Linked DNA regions of Coturnix japonica. The protein of the gene in region 2 purifies or fractionates together with the protein of the main gene of each other region. This does not show direct contact. Links are inferred from orthologs where the notes say so. Each region holds a gene or a part of one and is shown on either strand. Other genes may lie near its edges.

The links.
Region 1: the proteins of UBN1 (region 2) and ASF1A purify together in Homo sapiens (affinity purification with mass spectrometry; 6 studies listed by BioGRID and IntAct, counting the BioPlex papers as one, with this or other methods). This does not show direct contact. The link is inferred for Coturnix japonica from reciprocal best matches to the Homo sapiens genes UBN1 and ASF1A.

The regions. Positions count from the first base shown.
Region 1 is NC_029518.1:57,106,797-57,110,821, forward strand, and holds the start of ASF1A (histone chaperone ASF1A), read right to left. Parts: upstream 2,855-4,025; 5' UTR 2,469-2,854; coding exon 2,360-2,468; intron 1-2,359. UniProt on the Homo sapiens protein: Histone chaperone that facilitates histone deposition and histone exchange and removal during nucleosome assembly and disassembly.
Region 2 is NC_029529.1:11,642,114-11,645,676, reverse strand, and holds part of UBN1 (ubinuclein-1), read right to left. Parts: intron 3,085-3,563; coding exon 3,034-3,084; intron 1,879-3,033; coding exon 1,836-1,878; intron 1,509-1,835; coding exon 279-1,508; intron 1-278. UniProt on the Homo sapiens protein: Acts as a novel regulator of senescence. Involved in the formation of senescence-associated heterochromatin foci (SAHF), which represses expression of proliferation-promoting genes. Binds to proliferation-promoting genes.

The sequences.
Region 1 (4,025 bases), on a different chromosome or scaffold from region 2:
TTTGGCAACTGGCATAAAGGATCAGGGAACTTGTCTTTATCAGGGAAGCTGATGCTTTCTCCAGTCCTCATAAACTAGGCCATCCCACCACCTTTCTCCAGTCTGCAGAAGCCCCTCTATTTTCATAGACTGGTTAAGCTGCGATTCTCCTACAGCAGGTAGGGCCCATTTACTTGCTGGGAGCTGTAATGAGAATTTGTTCAGTCTGTAGGAATGTCTCCAGCATTTAGGCTTGCAACTGATTTTTTTCCTCATTAATGAAACCGTAACCCCTCATACAGCACGGCACAACGGGCCAGGTTCTGCATCAGAGATTCTGTTTACCCCATAAGCACCTGGTGTTGGCTGCTGGGGTACTAAGCACTCATTGGGTCAGCTGGTGACCTTCTGTTGGAGCCTATGTAATCTGCTGTGTTCAAGGAGTGGGGACATAAGAGGCTAGATCGCTTAAGGTTATCATACCATCACTTGCAGTTATTCCAGGAAAACAAACTCATTCTAAAGCAGTAATACTTGGTACTGAAAAACAAGCCTTTGAAGATAACTTATACCTTTAAAAGGTTGATCTGATACTGCTGATACATGATGACTTGGAATAATTTAAAGACGGGGGAAGTGAACTCAATTAATTTACTTTTAAGACCAGTGGTGCACAGGACTGGCTGTAAACAGCAGAGCAGACATTAGCACACAAACGCTAAGGAAATGACAGCAATTCATTCTCTTCAAGAAGCTGTTTAACCTCATTTTTAAACGTGAAAGATAGCAATGCTTACCCTAAACATATCCTGTAGCCTAACCTTTGTCAGATGGGGGAAGGGAACTGAGAATTTTGAACTGGGCCACCTCCAGTTCTCATCCTGACTGTCCAGATTAATCGCACTGTTAAACACACAGTTAGGAGTGGTCACAAACCAAAGGAAAGGCAAGGTGATGCCTAGTGCCTGTGCTGCTGCAGGCACTGCTGTGTGAGGATTCAGGTGCTGCTGTCCTGAGTGAGCCCTGACTGCCTGAGTCAGGGAGGAGCAGCCATCAGCATCGGGATGTGCACGGAGCTTAATGGCGCGGGCTGCTCAAACTGAGACGCTGATCAGTTTTAGGAAGGGGGCAGAGGCGTGGGGGGAACCTCAAACGCAGACAGGACTTTGACAAAGTTCCTGACAGCACCGCCAACCCGCCACACAGGGACAGAAACCCGCGCCGAGTGTTGAGGGAGGCAAACTGAACCACAGCAGCAATAGAAACGTCCCCATTCTCTACTGCCACGAGTTTCTTTCCCTGCCTCCCGCTGTCTGCCCTGGTTCCCCGGCGAGCAGGCGGCACTGTGCCCCATAGCGGCACCTGTCCTGTGGCTGCTCCATCGGAGCGGCCTTTTCCTGTCTCTCGGTGCCGCTCATCCCGCCGCTTCCTTCGCCGTGCGCCGCCGCGTTCGAATCTCCCGCCCGGTTGTTCCCGCGCGGACTCTCGGGGCGCCTCCCGCGGAGAGGCGCGGCGCGGCCTGCCGGCGGCACGGACACATCGTGCCGAGCGAGCCGGCCCACAGCGGGCCGGGGGCTGCTCGCGGCCCGCCGTGCGGACGGGAGGACTCGAGCCCGGCCGAGAAGGGTCCCTCAGCCGCGTCTCCCGTCCCGGGGTCCCCGCGGGGCGGCGTGCAGGGCGGCGCCGAGCCGCCTCCCCCGGCGGCAGCCGGTAACTTTCGAGTGACTTCCAAAAATAGTGGCTACCGCCTCCCCCTCCTCCCGGCACGGCTCCGCGCCTCCGGACCGCCACCCACCGGGCTCCGAGCACTGCGCCCACCGAGAGCCGCCCGCTCGTCCGCCCGGCCTCCAGCTCTGTTTTTTTCCTTTTCTTTTTTTTTTTTTTTCCTTCCCTCCTTTTAAGTATTAAAATGGACCGTGAGGCCCCGCACCGCACGCTCCAAACGCTGCCCGCGCTGCGGGTACCTCCCGTTGGCAGCGCTACGGCCGCGCAACAGTTCCGCTCCCGCGTCGCGGGGCCGCGCGGCGCCCTGCCCGCCCGCCCGCTCCCGCTCTGCCCCCCCACGCACACACAAAGCTGGCAACATGGCTACCACCACTCTAACAAGTTCCTCGCAACTTGAAGGCGGCCTCGGCGACGGCGCGGCGGGGAGCGAAGCGGAGCGGCGGCCCCGGAGCGAGGGCTCCGCCGCTAACTTTCCCTGCCCGGGCCGGGGCCGGGCGGCCCCGCCGTAGCTCCGCATCCCCCGCGTGGCCGCACGGCTCTGCGGGGAGGAGAACCGTGCGGCGGCGGGAGCAGGCCCGGCCCGAAGGGAGCCCGCCCGGCCCCGCATCCGACAGCCCGGGCACCGCCGAACCCGCGTCCGGAGAGCGGTACTCACCTTCCGACAGGTCCTCTATGCACTCAAATGTGATTTCGAACTGGAAAGGGTTGTAGAAAGGAGAAGGGTTGTCCAACACCACTACATTGTTCACCTGAACCTTTGCCATATTTTGAAAAAAATCACAATAGGAGGAGCGGGTGAACGCCGCACGGCAAAGTCCCGAGCGGTGATCTCCGCCTCGCACGAAGCCCCCTGCCCCCCGTCGGAGCGAGGCTGCGGAGCCGCGACTTGGGGAAACTTTTCTTCCCCCCTTTTATTTACACCGGGAGCACTCCACTCTGTTCGCAGCTTTCCTATTTCACTCAACTACGGCCCATTCTGCCCTGCTCTCCGCCAGCGCCCGTCCGGATTGGCCGCGCGCTGGGCTAGGGCCCTCCTCCCCGAGCCGAGCCGACCGCCGAGCGGCGGCAAGACAGGCACCGCCGCCGCCCGCCCGGCCCCTCCGCGCCGCTCGGCGCCCCCGCCCGGCCGGCGCCCGACACCGCCGCCAAACCGCCCGGCAGCCGCCGGCCAACGGCCGCGCAGAGCGGGGAGGGGCCGGGCCGAGCGGGCGGGGCCGAGCGCGGAGCCGAGGGGCGGCCCCGGGAGCCGTAGGCCGCGCCCCTGCTCGCGCGTGGGTTTCCGCCATGTGCTGTGGGTTTTGCCGGTTGTTAGTGCCCGAGGAAGGCGTGTTTTCATTCTTTTTAATTCTTTTCGCGAACCCGGAGGTGTCAGGTGTTACGTGCTGACTGGGGACTGCCCGACCGAGCCCTGGTCCGCTGTGTGAGCGGCCTCCAGAAAGCTGTCAACCCGTGGCTGTGCTGTAGTGAAGCCTCCGGCAGCGCCGCACGCCCCGAACACAAGCGGCCCTTGGAGGAGGCCATTTTAGGCTGCCGTGTGCGGGAATGGCAGCGGGGATATGTCATGTCACCGCCCGCCGCTGGGCTGGGGAGAGCCGTGCCCCGGGCTGGGGGTGTGAGGTGTTTCTCGTCAGCGTGAGAGGCGATTCCCGGAGGAAATAAATACGTGGTCATGCAGTAATCGTGCCTGCGGGGAACACTTAATGTGCGGCAGGAAGGTACGGAGCAGACATCTTGCCTGAGCCATGCAGGCAAGCAGCAGAGTGCTGCCATGTCTACAGTGAGGCCCTTAGCCGTCCTCCAAGCCACTGCCAGGTTTGGAAAGGTGATTATGCTTCTGTGTTGACAAAGAAGTGTCTGATAGTTGCCTCATCTGTTGCTCAGTGTACATTTTTAGCATTCCTCGTGTCAGATGAAAGGCCAGATTGGGCACAGTAGAAGAGACTCCTCACAACAAGCTACTATTACTATCAAGAAACATAAATTGCCAATAATTTCTGACTGATCTGCACAGAGATGTGCCATGGGAAGATCCTTGGGCAAGTTTCGTTGTAACATTCCAGGAGGTTTCAGGCTGGCAGCAGCTTGTCATCTACCAGGATATTTTGAGCAGAGCGCTTTGGAGTGAAAAAGAAGGGCTAAAGATAGAGAAAAGGCTGGGGAGTAGGGACGAGGAAATGGGAAAGAGCTGCACATACTTGATAGTGAGCAGCCATTATCACAGCTTAGAAACATTTCTGACCTTCCGTGCTCCCAGTGTTGCATCACATGTAGATTCACAAGTGCCTGCTGGGAACTTATTTGGTTCATTTCATTTTGGATTA
Region 2 (3,563 bases):
CTACACAGCCTACCCAAAAATTGCTGTCTGGAAGGTACCAGAGTATTTTGATCATTACTTTAAGCTGAAAACAAAAGCTTGAACTCTAGATTGTAAACCCATTGCAAAGGCCAAGTCCTCCTAACCTAAGCAGTCAAAGTCCAGACAGTCATTCAAGAATTTCAGGAACTTCTTTCAAAGTCACCATTTTATGGCAGGTCTCAGCAAGTCAGGAGACTGCCTGACACAACGCCATGTGCTCTCCTGGCATCGGGCTGGGTCAGCATGCTCCTACTTACCGGCACAGAGGTAGAAGATGCGGCGCTGCTGGCAACAGCTGGCTTTAGGGAGGAGGTCAGCAATTTGGCCACCCCTTGTGTGCCCCCACTAGAATCTCCATTTGAACCTCCTGGAGGTGCCACCAGAGTCAGCTTCTGAGAGACAGGAGTCTTCTTCACTGCAGAGCTCGGGGCTGGCCGGCTGGATGCCTGGCTGGAGGAAGGGGTCTGCATGCTGGGCAGCAAGTTCCCAGAGGAGCAGCCCTGGTTTGCAGACGCTCCCGATGAGGAGCTGCTGGAAGAAGCCCCATGCTTGGAGAGGGATCCAGAAACAAAGGGTGATTTATAGGATTGTCCTGAAGTGCTAGAGCCACTTGAGTGCTTTCCTGTATAGTTTAGAGATGACGATGATGAGCCTGGGCTTTTGTGAGAACTGCTGGAGTTTTGGGTGCTGCCTGAGGCAGCAGAGGAATGGAAGCTCTGAGCTTTGGTTGATGACTTGACCTGCTGGAGGAGGGAGCGTTGGGGCAATGGGGAGGAGGACTTGGGGTTCTGCAGTTTGACAAATGGAGCCGGAGAGGTGAAAGTTTTCTGTGGCTGGTTGCTTGAGTGGAAAACCTTCACCTGAGTACCTGGCACCGAGGTGGAGGTCTGAGGCCCATGGCTTGGTCGGACCAGGCTGTGGTGCTTCTGTTTAGCCTGGTGTATATCAGGAAGGATTTTGCTGGGGGAGGCTTGGCAGGAGAGCTCTTTATAATTAGAGTTCTCTGTCTTTTTGTCTTGGGAAGTTTGGCCCAATGCGAGGGCCTGTTCAGCCAGGAAATTTAGAGGAGACTGGAGGGAACCAGCAGAGGATGTTGTGGGAGCAGGGTGGGCCTTTGGAAATGTTCTCTTCTCTTCTGAGGATGCAATAGTTGGAATCTTCTCAGGTGGAGCTTTTGGAGCTCCAGGAAGAGGAAAGTCAGGGCTCCCTCCTGCTCTGCTGTTCAACACAGCCAGTTCCTTGGAGACTGCTTCAAGGGAGGAAGTAGGATTATGAATTAAATCTTCATCCAAAGAGTTGTCCATGAAGGCAGCAGGAGTAGTAGTGCTGTTGGCTGCTTGTGCTGTCCCAAGGGACAGGAGTTCTCTGGTCTGGGCACTGATGTTAAGACTTCCTGCCTGGGATTCTGATGACAGAGCTACGGTGTTGCTTGAATGTACTGATGGAACAGAAACAGCCACCTTTTTATCAGGTTTAGAGGAGAGTTCCTGGAACAAAATAACAACAGAAAGCAAAGTCAAAACAGAGGCAGAATGTAATGCTGAGAAGGGAAGGAAAGGTCCCTGATTTTGGGATGAAAGGTGTGATACCTGTCCGATGACAGGTACCCTCCTTCCAGGCTGGTACTCCTGCTGCCATCAGTTCTAGCTGCTGTCCTAATTCTTTCCTCAAGCACAGTGCAGACTGCTGCTGTTTAAGAATACAACTTCCTTACATCTATGCATAGATACAAAGCTCAAGTATAGGACCTAGGATGGCAGTCTCTCAACTACTGGGATATATCAAATGTGTGTACCAAAAAACACAGAACTCACCTTCCCCTTCACTTTAGTAGGAGCGACAACCTTCTTCTTCGCCCTGTTTCAAGGGAGACAAAGAAAACATGGGTTCACTGAGTGCCTGTAGGGAAGCATCCAGTCAGGGGCCCTGTTAATGATGATCCACTGAGTCTTTTGCAAAGAACAGAGGCAGCATCTCAGGTTGCTAGGATTCAAAATCGTATGACATTTGTTGCTGCCCTAGGAAGTCCCAGCTCCCACACAGGGGAACGATTTAGGGAGCAGAGCAGAGTATCTGAAATGGTTGCAGAGCAGTGAAAGCACTCAACAGACACATCCTGCATCAGCTGCAGGGCTACGAGCTACAGAAGCCCACTGCTGACCTAAATATAGCAACACCCAGAGAGAAATGGATACACAGGCTATTTTAGAGGGGAAAAAAAACTACACACTTCTTTTAGATTCCCAGAAGAAGTCAAAGATGCAAAAGCATCTGCCAAATTCATGGAAAATAGATCATTTGGTCTGGTCAGATGCAATCACCGGTACAAGACATCCCTGAGCTGCTGGAGAGGTATGGCTGAGGGAAGGATGACTCTACATTCTATTTCATACCCTTTCTCTGCTTCCCCTCATTCATCCAATGCCAAGAACAGGACCAGCTGTCAAACAGATACCAGCCTAAATCTATATCGTTGTCTGTTACATGCTGCCAGCAAGATCCATGAGGCCCTTAGGCCTTAAGGCACCTGCCCAGCTGGATTCCGATGGATCCCTTGGTTTGTCACCCACAGGTCTGTTTCTCCCATTCTCATTGCCTTGAGCTCATCGTACCTCTGCTTTAATCTGGCAGCAAGGAAGAGGGAATCCAGAATCCAGTAAGGATTAACTGAATAGGTGGCAATAAACACAGTGCTGGCACCACAGTCCATTTTACTCAACTGTCTCCCAGGGCCTAGCACAGAAGCCTGACTCCAGCCTGCTGAACAAGGCCAGGAGGCAACCTGGCATCAAAGGTCATTCTCTGAGCCTGCTGTAAGGCCCAGGCACCTCAGAAAGGCTTTTGCTGGGAGATGTCACACACCACTTCTCTCCTTAGACCTTCCCAAATGAAGCAGCGCCAAACTGTCTGACAGGAGCCAAACAAGCTCAGGTGTTCCTGCACGATCCACCCAGGCCCCAGGGAACGCAGATCACCAGTTATCACTCTAAAGGAATGCTGCACGATACTCACAGGACTGATGTGAGGTGTCCGTGTACACGCCTGCTCTCCTTAAACAGTGTCCTAAGAAGGGAAGAGAGCAATGAGAAGTGATATCCAGCAAGACCCAGTAGAGCAGCTGGGATCACTGGAGACAGAGCTGCACAGAACAGCAGGGGACTTAGTGAAATTAAAACCATGGAGCAAACAAATATTCATCCATTTTCAAGGAAAATCCTCTTGAACTCCCTCACTCCATTCCCTCACTGGGGAGCTAAGCTTGTAGGCGCTGGAAGGGCCATTAAGGCAGTGTGGTTGGACAGTAGCTAAGGAATGAGCTGACAGTCAATTGGAGAGACAGCACGGCCATTCAGGCTGAGTGTTGCTGCTACCAGAGATCATCAAGAGCTGGCAGATCATCCAGGAGCTCTCCACCATGTTTAAGGAAGAGAGGTTTCCTTTCCCTTCTTTATATATAGCAATATGGATGAGAAGCCTTCACACACTGCATTGCTGCTGCCTTTGCATCCCAAAAGACAGAAGTGCCTTTGCAAATCAGCAAA